2 linked regions of the Pelodiscus sinensis genome follow. The protein of the gene in region 1 interacts with the protein of each later gene in a biochemical or structural test. Links are inferred from orthologs where the notes say so. Each region holds a gene or a part of one and is shown in the gene's direction. Other genes may lie near its edges.

What was found. The genes of interacting proteins can lie anywhere in the genome.
Region 2: the proteins of MAP3K11 (region 1) and MAPK8IP1 form a complex in vitro, tested with the Homo sapiens proteins (2 studies listed by BioGRID). The link is inferred for Pelodiscus sinensis from reciprocal best matches to the Homo sapiens genes MAP3K11 and MAPK8IP1.

What each region holds. Positions count from the first base shown.
Region 1 is NC_134721.1:35,926,201-35,933,968, reverse strand, and holds the start of MAP3K11 (mitogen-activated protein kinase kinase kinase 11), read left to right. Parts: upstream 1-4,765; 5' UTR 4,766-5,814; coding exon 5,815-6,505; intron 6,506-7,768. Other genes in the region: PCNX3 (pecanex-like protein 3), read right to left, coding at 721-873. UniProt on the Homo sapiens protein: Activates the JUN N-terminal pathway. Required for serum-stimulated cell proliferation and for mitogen and cytokine activation of MAPK14 (p38), MAPK3 (ERK) and MAPK8 (JNK1) through phosphorylation and activation of MAP2K4/MKK4 and MAP2K7/MKK7.
Region 2 is NC_134714.1:83,261,689-83,268,840, forward strand, and holds the start of MAPK8IP1 (C-Jun-amino-terminal kinase-interacting protein 1), read left to right. Parts: upstream 1-4,149; 5' UTR 4,150-4,842; coding exon of another isoform or gene 4,843-4,855; coding exon 4,856-4,941; intron 4,942-7,152. UniProt on the Homo sapiens protein: The JNK-interacting protein (JIP) group of scaffold proteins selectively mediates JNK signaling by aggregating specific components of the MAPK cascade to form a functional JNK signaling module. Required for JNK activation in response to excitotoxic stress.

The sequences.
Region 1 (7,768 bases):
CCCCGTTGTGCTAGGTGCTACTCTGACCCCTCTCTCCAGCCATGGCCAGAGCCACCACCACTGCACAGATTCCCCAACTCCAATTGAGGGTTGCAAGGAGCCACACAGACACAGTGATCAGAATAGCCACAACATCAACAGGCAAAGGCAGGGTCTGTCTCCTCTTTATACAGATGAGGAAAGTGAGATACTTAGAATGGATGGGACTCGACTTGAGGCAGGCAAGAGGGCTGAACAGAAGTATACTGCTCCCCACACACAAGCCCACCATCCTTCTCTGAATCTCAACATGCCCATCTTCCACTCTGCTAAAGGCTCAGCCAGCAATAACATGGGACATCTTGCCTAGAGTCCCCCAGCAGCTTCCAATTTCTGTGCCATGCTCAGTGGCAAGGGGAGCTTGCCTCCAGGTGAAAGTCAGCTTTGGGGATCAGGTCCTAAAGTTACAGTTACAGGTCAGTGCAAAGCAGGGGTAAAAGAGACTCAAGTTCTACCCCCAGCTCTGCCATGACCTGTGGGGTGATCTTGGGCCACTTACTTCATGATCAGTACCTCAACTTCCTCTCCCATCCTTTGGCTTTTACACTGGGAAAGGACCCCAGGTTGGGGCATTAATGCCAGGACCCCACATCCCAGGTTACCAAAAGTGACATGCATGACTGGCTGTAGGGTCAGGAGCCTAACTTCCAATCTGCAGTGAGGGGCCTGAGGTTGACTCACCATGTAGAGCAGGAAAGGGAAGGTGAGCAGGAAGATCCAGGTATAGAGGTGGAAGCAGTTGGAGAAAGTGCTCTGGTGCGGATCAAAGAACCAGCCGCCTGTCAGCGAGGCCCAGACGCCCTGGCGCAGGATTTGCAGCACCTGCGAGCCCATGGCCACGGTGGTGCCTCTTCTTCCTCCCCCTCCGCCCGTTCCTCCTGCTCAGGGAACGTGACTGCCAAGCTTGCACCTGCAATATCCTTCATCAAGGCAACTAAAAGCCCATGATCTGCAGCCTGGGACCCCAAAATCCTACCTCACTCCTCTCTTAGTTAAACCAGGCTGCCCTCCTTCAGCAGGTATGGGCACCTCACACACCTACCCCTGAGAACCTCAGCTACTGCTGTGGAGTCTCACTAGCCATCCAACGTGCCCTTTTGCCTCCACAGCAAAAAGCTTCCCCCCTCCCTCCACATTCACCCTTTTCTTGCTCATGCCATTATGACTGCTGGAGGGAGGGGGGTTATCTCCACTGTCCAAGGAAATTTAAATTAAACTGTGGAGGAGGTAAAGAAGGAGGTAGGGTGGCAGGGAACTAACTCTCTAGTGGTGGGGATTGCAAGCTCAAGCAGAGATAGGACCAACTGGAGACACAGGAGAGGGACACCCTGGGGAACAGGCTGGCAGCCCCCGTCTTGTCACTGAACAGCAGCCCAGGATAGGGGGCCTCAGTAGGGTGAATGGGGCAGGAAAGGGTGTGGGCAACACGGTGTCAAGGTGGGACCCCCCAGTAGGAGGCTACCAGTATGATGGGAGGAGACCGGAATGGGGCAGCACAGCCCTGTAGAGAGGGCAGCGGGGGGCAGGGAAAAAGGGCGGGCGGGGGTGAGTGGGGACCCAGGTAGGATGGTTGGCGGGCAGGGGAACCCACGCAAGCAGGGGCCGAGGTAGGAGCAAGGGTGGGGAACCCGGGTGACGGGCCCGGGCAGTCGGGAGACCCGAGGGTGGGAGGGTCGGAGCAAGCCCGAGCGGCTCCCACCAGCGTCCCAGAAATGCTAAAGGGCCCCCCCCCAAAAAAAATCTTGTTCACTTCCGGGGTCAGAGGTCAGTCCGGGAACCCTTCGAGCGCAGAGGGAACCCAGCAGCGGCACCTCAACTGGAAACTGGGGAGGCCGGAAGAGGAGCCCAGGGAGCAAAAGGAACAGCAAGAGCAGCACGCATGCGCCGATCACCCCTTAACACACAGCCAGGAAGCGGAAGTGAAAGTGCGTGGGTCAACTCAGAAACGGCTGACGGCTGAAGCAGCACTGCGCATGTACTAAATTGTGTCCTCTATACGCATGTGCACTGCTCCACACTCCCCTGGGCGCATGAGCAGACTTTGCGGAACTTCTTTCACGCATGCGCAACAGGTTTTAGTCACGCCATTCCTCCTCTTCCAGTTGCGTTCTTCGCGCACAAAAGTTAAAGCGTTCTAAAAAGGTCCTTGGGGGGGTAGATACAGGATGGTGAATTGCGCGTGCGCAAATCCAGGCGTTCGCTCGCGCGCTCTAACGGAAGTATAATCTTAATTCCTAATGGACTGTGCTGTTTGATTGACATTTTACTCCTCCAGTGAGAATTGAGGAAGGCTTAAAGGGGTGTATTGGGGGCGTGACTCTTCCGTATCCTAACCAAATAGAATAGCGAGGAGTCATGTTGCACTAACAGATTTATTGAGTCGTGAGCGCTCTGTAAAAGCCACTTCCTCCCGTCAGCTGGAGTGGGGGTTGCAGAGTGCGGAGATACGCACGACAGCGGGTGTAGGAGCGGTGTTGCTGAGGCTAATTAGGCTGGGGGGGGGAGTGTTTCCTTCCCAGAATTTGATGCGACTATCCAAAGGGGGAAATTACCTTTGTGTAGCCAGTTAAGAGCTTTATTCGAGCCTAAGCTGGTAGCGTTGGATTTGTAAGTGAACTACAAGCTTTCCAGGAGCATTTCACAGGCGGCCGTTCTTCACACCTGCTTCATCTGATCCTAGGCAGGGCATGGGGCTCTGGCAGGCACTGGATGCTCTAGATAGGGCCTCAACTATGGGGGTTCTTTGCCCCAGCAGAGGCTCTCAGTAGAACTAGCAACTCCTCCCAACTCCTAGGCATCATCCAAAAAGCCAACCATATCACTATTAGCCAGCTGCTATAGTAGGCTAGTATTCCATACAGGGCTCCTCTTGGGTATTGATGGTTGAAAACTGAGTCAGACTGAGTGGGCTTAGGAATAAGTAAGGTGCATACCACTCATCCTCTCCCCCTTGCTGAGGGGAAGTAAATGGAGAGATGCCCAAGGATCAGGCCCTAATAGGAAGTAATGAAGATTGATGGTTAATTATTATTTATTACTAGAAGACTTACCTGGCACTGCTCGGGTCCTTTGGGGCTGGGTGTATGGGGGAGGGGGTGCAAGAGTCAAGGCAGGGTCTGGGGGATATGAGGGGCTCAGTATAGAAGGCTGAAGGTGTAGGAGTCAGGCTTGTGGGTGAGGAGAGGCTCAGGGAAGGGAGCTGGTGATGTGGGGGTGCAGGAATCAGGATTGGGGGTGACAAGGGGCTCATGGTAGTCAGTGCAGGAGTCAGAGCAGAGGGTTGGAGGTGGGGAGGGCAGCTGCAGATTTCTCCCCTGAGGCAGTGGGGACCATGCAGCTTGCCCACCAGCTTTTCCATAGGGCTGGGGTGGCAGGGGCCGTGCTGCTAGTCAGCAGCTGCTCTCTGGGGCTGGGGTGCTTGCTGCTTCCCTGAAATCATTAATGAGAATAACTGTCCCTGCTATCACACCCCTCCCTTTCCAGGTGATGAGAAACAATTGTATTCGACACAAACCCCATTGTCCTGGCCCAACCAAACCCTGACCTTGCTTTAAATTATAAGAGGAAGCTGCATACCAAATTTGGTGGTCCTAGCTCTTACCATTTAGGAGTTCTTGAACAAACTAACTCACGGATGGAAGGACATGCAGACAGAAAGATGCACATCCGCTCTCAAATATATAGTCAACATGAATATGAATTGCTGTAGCTTTCTCTACTATAAAGTGCTACCCGACCATTTGCTTGCTGTTTTTTTCCACAAAGTGAGTAACACTCCTTGTCCCAGAGAGCACACTGTCTAAATAGTGGGAGGGAGAGGACTTAGCCAGGGTCCCACAGTAGGGCAATGGCAGAACCAAAAGTAGAACCCAGGAGTCCTGAGTCCCAGTCAAGCGCTATCACTATGGGGGTCCATACAGTGTGCAGTAAAATAGAGACTCCCCTCTTAGTTAAGGTCTATGCAGTGTCTAGCATGACATGGTCCTGATCTCTGTCAGGATCTGCACAGTGCTATTCTAATTCACACACTAATAGTCTGAGACAGTCCAGGCCCCAGGAAGCTTAGCATGGCCCAGCAGTCAGGAAACCAAGAATAGTTCCCCAAATCCCCCAGAAAATGCCATTCCCAAGGGAACTCAGCTGAATTTAGTATGCATGGATTTATGAATGTGGTAGTGAACTGTGCACCCTGCCACTTCCTAGGCAGGCACTGCCACTGAGGAAGCTTACTGCATGGAAACCATTGTTGGCTACTGCTATGAGGAAGCTCACAACTCCACAGTTACAAGCACGGGAGAGGGGGAACCCACAGTGACAGAGTCCCTGCCTGGGCACTGCCATGGGAGCTCAGCTGACAAAGCTGCAGTTCCTGGCTGGGCACCTTGACAGGGGGACTCACTGCAGCCACAGAAAAGTAAATTCTGGACGACTCATGAATGAGCACAGAGTCAGGAACAAGAAGGTGCCCAGGAGCCCAGGCCTTCTGTCTCCCAGCCCCCTCCCTGTTTTAACCACCAGACCCATTTCCTCCTAGAGCTGGGGCTAGAGCCTAATGTGCTGATTCGCAGCTCCGCCAACCCTGCCGCTCCCAGAGCGGAGAACCCAGGCGTTCTGGCTCCCAACCCCTCCCCCAGTCTAATCCGACTCCTGAACTGTGTCTCCACTCTTGTTCCTTTTCCTTTGTCCCGGTAACAATGTGACCCGCTCCGCCTTCCTGGTTCCAGACTCCACCCTAGTGCCCTGTGGGGGCGGGGAGACGGGCCGGGCCAGGCCAGCGGGCGCTGCGCTGGGGGATCCGGAGCACACCCCATGAGAGGCGGGGAGAAGAGGCCACCTCTAGCTGCCGTCGCAAACTCTCGATCTTTGAGCCCCCAACCCACCGGCTCTCTGTGGGGTCGGAGCCGCCCAGTGACCGAGAGGCAGAGGCATTTCCCACGTCCGGACCGGCCGGGACCCTGCCGAAGAGACGGACCCAGGAGCGGCGGCTTCTAGCCGCGGAACTTCTTCAACAAGCCGAGGCGTTTCCTCCCCGCTGTGCTCCGGCTTGGGACGGAGCTAGGGCCAGGCCAGCTGGAGGGAGCGAAGTGTGGGCACGGCTAGGCGGGGGGAAGCCGTAGCTAGATCGGAGTAGAGGATCCCGCAGGCAGAGGGGCACTTCTCTGTCCCGGTGGGGAGCAGGCGGTAGGGGGAAAGCCTAGCCTCTGTGGGGGGAGTAAACGGTAGGGGGTGTCCCTGTCTTCTGTGGGGAGTAGGGAGCGATCCTAACCCCGTGGGAGGAGGCGATTCTAGCCCCTGTGGGGGAAGTAGGCGGTAGGGGGTGGCCCTGTCCTCTGTGGGGAAGTAGGGGGTAAACCTGGTCCCTGTAGGGGGAAGCAGGCTGTAGGGAACGATCCTAGCCCCTGTGGGGGGAGCAGGTGGTAGTCTGACCCTGGCCCCTGTGTGTGGGGAGGGAAATAGGCGAGAATAAGTCTGTGCCCTGAGTGGGGGGACTAGACTGCGGGGGATGGTTGTGGCCCCTGGCAGTGGGAGTAGAGTGTAACTGTCCCAGCAAGGGGGGGATTAGGCTGTAGAGGAGGATCCTGATTCCCAGATGGGAGGGGACTCCTGTAGGTGGGCAGGTTTCCCTGTCCCATAATCATCTTGATCTGGGGAGACCCCTGCGAGCCAGGACCCTCAGCCTGGTCTTACAGCACCCTTCTAGGAAGATGCCTGTGTTGTGAAGGGCCCCAGCTGGGCAGGGGCTCACTAGAAGCCTCCACCAGCCTACGACCCAGCATGGAGCCACTGAAGAACCTGCTGCGGAAGGGTGCCTGGGGGCCCGAGCGGAGTGGCGGAGCAGCCTACGCCAACCCAGTGTGGACAGCACTCTTTGACTATGAGGCAGCGGGCAGTGACGAGCTCAGCCTGCGCCAGGGGGACCGCGTGGAGGTGCTGTCATGGGATGCCACCGTGTCCGGTGATGAAGGTTGGTGGGCAGGCCGGGTACGGAGCCAAGTGGGCATCTTCCCCTCCAGCTACGTCTCCCTGCAGCCCGTCGGCTATGGCGACGGTCCAGTTCACGCTGACTTCCGGGAGCTGCGGCTGGAGGAGGTGATTGGGGTGGGGGGCTTCGGCAAGGTGTACCGTGGTACCTGGAAGGGTGAGCTGGTGGCTGTGAAGGCAGCACGCCAGGATCCAGATGAAGACATCAGTGCGACAGCAGAGAGCGTACGCCAGGAGGCCCGTCTCTTTGCCATGCTGCGCCACCCCAACATCATCGCCCTCAAGGCCGTCTGCCTGCAGGAGCCCAACCTGTGCCTGGTGATGGAGTACGCAGCCGGGGGCCCACTCAGTCGTGCGCTGGCCGGGCGCAGGATACCCCCCCATGTGCTGGTGGATTGGGCGGTGCAGATCGCCAGAGGCATGCAGTACCTGCACTGTGGGGCCATCGTACCTGTCATCCATCGTGACCTCAAGTCCAACAACAGTGAGTGTCACTCTGCAGTCATGGTGCCCCACAGGACCCACTGGCTCCTCAAACCCACCTTACAGCCCCCACCCCACGGGATTTCCCAGATCTATTAGAGTCCCTCATACACAACCTGCAGCCCCCATCCCATGGAATCCCCAGATCCACAAGTGTCCCTCAAACCCAACCTGCAGCCCCCACCTCATGGGATCCCCCCCACTCTATGGGTGTCCCTCCGTCCCGACTTGCAACCCGCCCATGAGATCCCCCCAGCAATATGGGTGTCTCTCAGTCACGACCTGCAGCCACCCCCTGAAGATCCCCCATCTCCATTGGTGTCCTCAATCCTGATTTGTAGTCCGTGGTAGATTAGCTACTCCAGCCAATTGGGCTGCCCCCTAGAAAAATGAGTGCCCCATGCTCCCTGCAGGAGTGCTGAGGGTACTGCAGGCAGGAGGGGAGGGGAGGGGTCCCCAAACTCCTAATATACCTCTGCCTGCAGCCCTCCAAAGAATCCCCCAAGTCCGCTGGTGTCCCTCTGTCCTGACCTACAGAACCCTGCTATCCCAGCCCTGCCCCACTAGGCTCCTCCCTGCACCTCTCTCGCAACTCAGCTGGTGCATCTGGGTTCTGACCTCACTGACCCTGGGCTGCAGGAAGTGATGACAATTGTGGGGCCTTTGAAAAATGTGATTTTGGCATGTATGTAAAATGCAGGGGACAGGGAATGCGATACTGGGCCTTGGCCCTCCAAAGGCCACTAGTTCTGATCTAGCACCAGGGTTGGGGACTTGCTGACTATGGGGGTTCTGTTAGATCAAATGAGGTACCAGGAGCATCAGGCTATGTCTACACAGCAACCAAAGTCCCACTGCATGGCTGGCCTGGCTCATCTGACTTGGGCTTGCAGGGCTAAAAATTGCAGGGCAGGCATGGGGGTTCAGGCTGGGCCTGCAGGGCTCAGAGACTGGATATCCACTTGAGTCTTGAATGTTTACACTGCAATTTTATAGCCCCCCCAGTTCAAGCCCCATCAGCCTGGTCAGCAGAACCAGGCTTAGACTTGTGCGGTGGGTTTGTCTTCGCAATGCAGACATACCCTTAGAGCAGGGCTACTCAACTTTAGAAGCCCCAGGGGCCACAATGATACTCACAGCACATGCCAAGGGCCACAAATTAAGTGTGGTTGCATAGTCATGCAAAAATATATGCAAATATATGCAAATAGCTTCATTCACACTGACAGGCATGAATATAAAGATTAAGGCAAGACTACACAAC
Region 2 (7,152 bases), on another chromosome or scaffold:
TCTATTCCAGATATTTCCTCATCCCTAAAGCAAAAGGGGGCCTTCGCCCCATTCTAGATCTCACGGATCTAAACCCGTTCATATGGAAAACTAAGTTCAGAATGGTCACCCTAGCCTCCATCATCCCCTCCCTCCAGAAAGGAGATTGGTACGCTGCCCTCGACTTAAAAGATGCTTACTTCCATATTACAGTGATCCTTGCCCACAGGAGATTCTTCAGATTCGTAGTGGGTGACGAGCACTTCCAGTTCACAGTCCTACCTTTCGGCCTCACCACGGTGCTGAGTGTATTCACCAAATGTATGGCACCAGTGGCAGCCTTTATGAGGCACCAAGGCATACATGTTTTTCCTTACCTGGACGATTGGCTAATACGGGGGTCGTCTCGAACAAGTGATGAGGCACATCTCAAACACCAGATGACTGTTTCTCCAACTCGGCCTCATAATAAACGAGGAAAAGTCCACCATAATCCCCTCACAAGTAATAGAATTTGTAGGCGCCTGTCTGGACTCCACAACAGAGACAGCATCTCTGCCCAGACACAGATTTCAGACTATGTGATCAGTGATTGTGGGCCTTCAGAGGTCCCCCATATCCACGGCCTGCAATTGTATGTGACTGCTGGGTCACATGGCAGCCTGTACGTACATCATGATGCATGCCAGACTCAGACTGCATCCACTGCAGGGGTGGCTAAGCACTGTCCACAACCCAGTGCGACAGCCTCTGGACATGGTGGTTATTGTCCCAAAATCAGTACTATGCTCGCTAGACTGGTGGACACAGGAGGAAGTAGTATGTGCAGGGGTCCCTTTCAACAAGCAAGCCCCATCTGTGCAGTTAGTGATGGATGCATCAGATGTCAGGTGGGGAGCCCACTTGGGAACCCTAAGGACACAAGGACTATCGTTACTGAAGGAGAATTCTGTGCACATAAATGTCAAAGAGCTCAGGGTGGTCAGGTTAGCATGTCACGGATTCCTGCCCCATCTAGAGAACAAGGTGGTGGAGGTGTTAACTGACAACACGTCAGCCATGTACTACATCAACAGACGGGGGGGTGCTCATTCCTCTCCCCTGTGCAGGGAAGCTCTCAAACTCTGGGAATTGTGCATATCCAGGAACATCTACTTGCATGTAACCTACCTTCCCGGGTCCAGCAACAATCTGGCAGACAGACTCAGCCGTTCCTTTCAAGTCCACGAGTGGATGCTCACGAGAGATAGTTTAGAGAAGGTTTTCCAGAGGTGGGGCTATCCCTTTCTGGACCTGTTTGCCTCCAAGACCAGTACCCAGTGCCGGAAATACTTTTCTTTCATGAGACAGGGAATCAGGCCCTTAGGGGACGCTCTACGTATACAATGACCCACTCAGCTATTGTATGCATTCCCTCTGTTCCCACTAATACAGGACACTCTAGTCAGGGTCAGGCGTTTCAGGGCAAGGGTCATCATGATATTGCCAAGGTGGCCTGACAACACTAGTTCTCCACCCTGAGAGAATTGTCAATAGAGGACCTGGTTCGACTACCCCTAATCTCAGATCTAATCACACAAGATCTGGGGCAGGGGACACTATGCCATCTGAACTTGACGGCCCTCCACCTTAGAGCTTGGAACCTGAGTGGCTTTCTAACCTAGAACCAAGGTACTCACAAGAGGTCCAAAGGGAGAGTAGAAAGCCATCTACCGGAGCCCTTTATGAAGCCAAGTGGAAGAGATTCGCGTTGTGGACACAACAAAGGGGCATTGACTCAATCAGGGCCAATATTCCTCTAATATTAGACTATCTACTATAGCTCAGACACCAGGGCGTCCACCAAGGGAGGGTGGAAGGTCAGTGTTCGCTAACAGCATGGTGAAAAGATTCATGAAAGGAATCAATAGACTATTACCATATATACGTCCCCCTATTCCTCCATGGGACCTTAAGGTAGTCCTTAAGGGACTCATGCGGCCACCATTTGAACCATTAGCCACCTGTTCTTTAAAACATCTGTCATGGAAGGTGGCATTCTTGGTAGCAATTATCTTGGCCAGGAGGGTATCAGAGCTACAGTCTCTTACCTCAGAGCCCCTTACACAGTCTTTTTAAAGTTAAGTTCAGACTACGAACTCACCCGGCCTTTCTCCCTAAAGTGGTATCTTATATCCATATATCCCAGGACATTTACCTGTGTTCTTCCCTAAGCCACACAAGACGACCAGAGAGCAGGCTTTGCATTGCCAGGATGTGAGGAGAGCCATTGCATTCTATATAGACAGGACAAAGGAATTCCGTAAGTCATCACAACTCTTCATTTCCATCACAGAAAGAATGAGGGGAGTTCCAGTTTCAGCTCAGTGCTTATCCTCCTCGATCACCTCATGCATTCATGAATGTTACCATGGAGTGGTAAGACACCTCCCCCACTGAGAGCACATTCCACACGAGCTCGCAGGCGACATCCGTGGCATTTCTGGCACAAGTGCCTATCCTGGACATCTGTAGGGTGGCCACGTGGTCCTCCGTACATACCTTCTCAGAACACTATGCCATTACACAATAGGCCAGAGCAGATGCAGCTGTGGGAAGGGCTGCAATCTGTAGAAAGATATCATTACTCTCCGACCCCACGGCCGGGGACACGACTTGGGAATTACCTGATTGGAATAGACATGAGCAAGCACTCAAAAAAGAAGAGGTTACTTACCTTGTAACTGTAGTTCTTCGAGATGTGTTGCTCATGTCCATTGCAAATCCCACCCACCTCCCCTTCGTCAGAGGACTTTGGCAAGAAGGAACTGAGGGGGTGGAGGGGCCAGCAGGGACATATGTGTGCGGATATGTACCTGGCTGGCCCTATGGATACTGCTAAGGGAAAAAAGCTCCGGGATCCGTGCACATGGCGCACGCACACCTAATTGGAATGGATGTGAACAACACATCTCAAAGAACTACAGTTACGAGGTAAGTAACCTCTTCTTTACCACAGTCGAAAAAACCGCTGTGTTCTTTCGATTTAATTTCAAAAGAACATGGTGGCAGTCTAGACTCGGGAAGTTTTTTCGAAAAAAGGCCACCTTTTTCGAAAAAATCCTGTAGTCTAGACACACCCTCACTGAGGGAGGCTGCTCCAGGCTGCCTAGCCCAGCACATACACAGTGGCTCAGGCTGTCTTGTAATCTGAGCCTAGGTGGGAGATGCAATCAGGTAACATCTTTTGTTGAGAGGGGGCGGGAGCTGGACAAAGAGGGAGGCGGGGCTGCCTGCAGGGCTGGGACTGGTTGCTGGGTTTGTGAGTTAATATCAGCTGGCTTAGGAATCAGGATGGAGGGCATCTAGCTGGCTTGGGAGGCTCTGGGCCCCTCTATTGCCAAAATGGATTGTACTGACTGCTCCCAATTCCTGTGTACCCTGTGAACCAATAAACCTTTTGTTCTGCCTGCTGGCTGAGAGTCACATCTGGCTGCAGATGGGGGTTCAGGGCCGGATGGCTCCCCACGCTCCATAAGAGGCTTCATGTATGTTATTTCCTTAAGCAGTGCTACTAAAGTTATGAAAATGATTTAAATGCCATCTCAGCATGGACTCAATATGGCGTTTTTTCTAGACCTGGTGGTATGGTTAAAGGAGGGGAGGAGTAGAAATAGTTTAAAGAGCAAGGAGTAGAAATAGTAGGTTAGTGGACCCTGCCATGAATAGAAATGGTTCCACCTCTTTCTTTCAATGAAAATTGTTTGAAATCTGGCTTTAAACCTCCCCCTGCTGTGACCATAATGCAAACAGTTCCTGAGTAGCAGTAATTCAACCATCTCTAGGGACAGGCATGCTTCAGGAGGGCAAACTCTGCTTTCATCAATGTCTGAAAAATAGGATCTACCATCCCCGTTTGGGTCAGGGTGCTGATGAGGCATGGAGGGGGAGGGGACAGGCAAGCCTGGAAAATTAAAATACCTGTTGATTTTATTATCTTGCCCTTTCCAGGCCCCTTGGAGGCTACTGCCTAGCAGCTTTGGCTGCAGCCTACCCCCTCTGCTGGCTCTAACCCCGGCTGCATTTGCAGGGCCCCCGCAGTTGCTTGGCTGTAAGTAGTGGGTTGAGGGAGGGGGGTCTGGTGCCTGCAGTCCTAACGGCTGTGCTGAGACATTGGGTGGGGAGGAGTGGGGTGCTACCCTGGAGGTCTCCAAGATGGGAAGGGAGTGTTCGGTTTTGTAGGAGAGGGTCATTGGTTCCTTTTCCCCCTCCTACTCCTTGGATCTTCAAGAGGTCAGGGACTGCACCTGCTTTTATGTAAGGACCCATCCACTCCTCTCACTAGGAGCCTTTCACAGAGAGTAGTAGGACGCTTCATCACCTGTCAGCCTTCTTCCTCAGCCGCTGCCACCCTCATCCTCACCCACTGCCAGCCCCACACATCCCTCTCCCTGCGAGATCCCGTTTCCCAGCCCAATCCCCTCCCCCCTCGTCCTCCGCTCCTCCCTTTCCCTCCCCTCCTCTCCTTAGCCTTCGCCAGCCCATCCCCTCTCTCCTGCTCCTGCCTTCCCCCCGCTCCCTCCCTGCCGCCTGTCCCGGGCGCTCCTCGAGGAGCAGGACGCGCCCAGCCGCTGCTTCCTCCTCCCGCGTGGGGCTCCTGGGCACCGTCGACCTGCTGCAGCTCGCCCGGCGGGAGGGGGAGCCAGGCTGCGGCAGTCCCCTGGGGGCTCCTCTCGGGCAGTTCGGCCTCCGGGGGCTTCGGCTTTGAGCGGCGCCCTTGGCTGCCAGCCCCCGGGGCCTGCCGCAGGTGAATTCCTGCCTGGCGGCCCCGCTCTGCCCTCCCCTGCCAGCGTCGGCAGCATCCGTCTCCCCTCCCTCCGCCTGATGGAGAGAGAGAATGGCGGAGCGAGAGAAAGGAGCCACGTCCCCGGCCGGATCCTCTCCCTTCCTGGGGCTGCACCTCGCCTCGCCCCCCAATTTCAGGTACCGCAGCCTCCCCGCCCCCGCCCCTCTGTCCCTTTCCTGGGGGGGGTCGCTGCAGATCTTTGGCGCAGCCCCTTCCCCCCCCCATCGATCCCCGTTGTGGGCACAGGCTGCAGGCGCCTCTGCGCCCCCGGCCGCTGGCAGAGGCTGGGAGCTGCGGCGGTGCCCGTTCCCCACCGAGGAGGCTGGGCGAGGGAAGGGGCAAAGGCCGCCCCACCCCCTCCCCCGAGCGGGCATGCACAGGCTGTATTGCCGGGGCGGAACAATGACTGCCTGGGGCAGCCGGGTCCCGTCTCCCTGCCCCACAGCTGGCTCGGGGCAGTGTAACCCCTCCCCTCCCCCGGCCAGAGGGTCAGGCCCCGTCCCTGCTCGGGGCTGCGAAGGAGCCGTGTGCCCTGGAACAGGTGGGGTCTGCGGGGAGCGCTCCTGCTCTCTCGGGCAGCCAGGCGAAGGCTTGCGCCCTGCAGCTCAGTGGGGAGGGCTGGGCTCTGGGCAGCACAGCGGCAATCTGCATGGTAGGCAGTGTTTTTCCTGCTGGCTTTGTGTGTGTGTTGTGAGGGAGGGATGGAAATGCACACACAAGCATCCCCTCTCCAACCCGAAATCTCGCCACAGCATCCTGGAGCACCCCCGACCCTGGAACCCTCCCGTTATATTCCCCTCCTACCTCCCACTCATGCTTCCCCAACACCTCCCACCCAACCATCCACACCTACTTCCAGTCATCTCCTCCCACACTACTTCCAAATCCTATTTCCCATGGAAGCCCCAGAACTGCCCCCATTTTCTCTCCCCCACACACACTTTCTCCAACACAGAAGACTTCACAGCCAAAAAACACACCCCCTTCCCCAAAACAGATTTCCTCCCCAGGAAATACTTCCTTCCTCCTTCTTTCCTCTTTCTTATGTCACCTCAGAGACCAGGACCCCTGTGTATGCTCCTAGGTACAGACCTGAAACAAAACAAACCCAGGAGAGTGTTGCAGATTTAGAACCGATCCTCTCAGAAATACCAAAACCCCCCATCTATTTGGGACATAGAGCCCTTTTAATTTGAAGGCTGTGAAGCTGTTCACAACATGGGCCTAACAGCTCCAGGCAGATGCAGGGATAGGAGCAGAGGGGGACAGCAGAACCTACAGCTGCCTAGCTGAGATAAGGATACAGGTAGGCTTGGGTGGCAGGATGCCTGCCAGTTTGACTTCTGAAGAGCTGAATTAGCAAAGGGGTGCACAGGGGGCAGCACCTGATATTTGGTCTTGCATAGGCCATGCCACTATTTTTCCTGTGATTTGAGGGGCTGATGTAGTTTGTTTTTCTGAAATTCTGAGCAAGTGTCATCTGGTTATCAGATGTGTGTTTCATGAATGGTGGGGCACTAAGCCTAGAACTGAGTCTGAGCTGGGTAGGGAGATGAGACCTGTACTGTATTGTATATACTTATACTGAGAAATGCTGTTATCAGAGGTTAATGTTTCACATGTAATTCTGTGATGTGTCTAGGAGTCTGAGAATTGGGGAAAGGGAATATCTGCCATTATTTTGAGGGGAAGCTGGCATGGTGTTTGGACATTGTAAGGCAGGGTGAGAGCCCTTGTGCATACTGTCATTAGGTTCTAGTGCTTCCTCTGCTAAACAGCTTTATGGGGCTCTGCAAAGAGTAGCCCACTCTCTTCCTTTTAGTTCTAATGCTGCCTATTTGAATTGTCTGAAGCCATTGCATGCAACATGGGGGCGTGTTGCATGCAAATTAAACAATTCAAGCTGCCTCTGGAAGGGTCCACCATGAGGAAGAGTCTCAGCCACAGAGCTGGATAATGTGAGTCTAGCAGCAAAGCTCAGCCTGGTCCCGTGACAGTCTCAGGCTTGCTGTGTGCTGCTGTCCTAGATACAACATTTGTCTCCTGGGCTCTGTCCTCTCAAATGTAAACAGCAACACCCAGGGAAGGAAGAGCATGGTGTCATCTCCTTCTGTTGTCCAGGTCTCCAGAAGTGGAGTCCAAATGCTCAAGAAGCAACTTTTAATAGGAAAGGGAGCTGGGAATAGTAAGACCTTGTATGGGGAGAAATCTCAGGGCTCTGACACAGCGGGGAGAACTCAGAGGTCTCTGAAGTTAGGGAAAATCATTCCAGGAGCCCTGAGTTTGGGATCAGGTTCCTGGGATTCATGGAAACAATTCTGACATCTCTGAACTTGGGGTGAATTTTG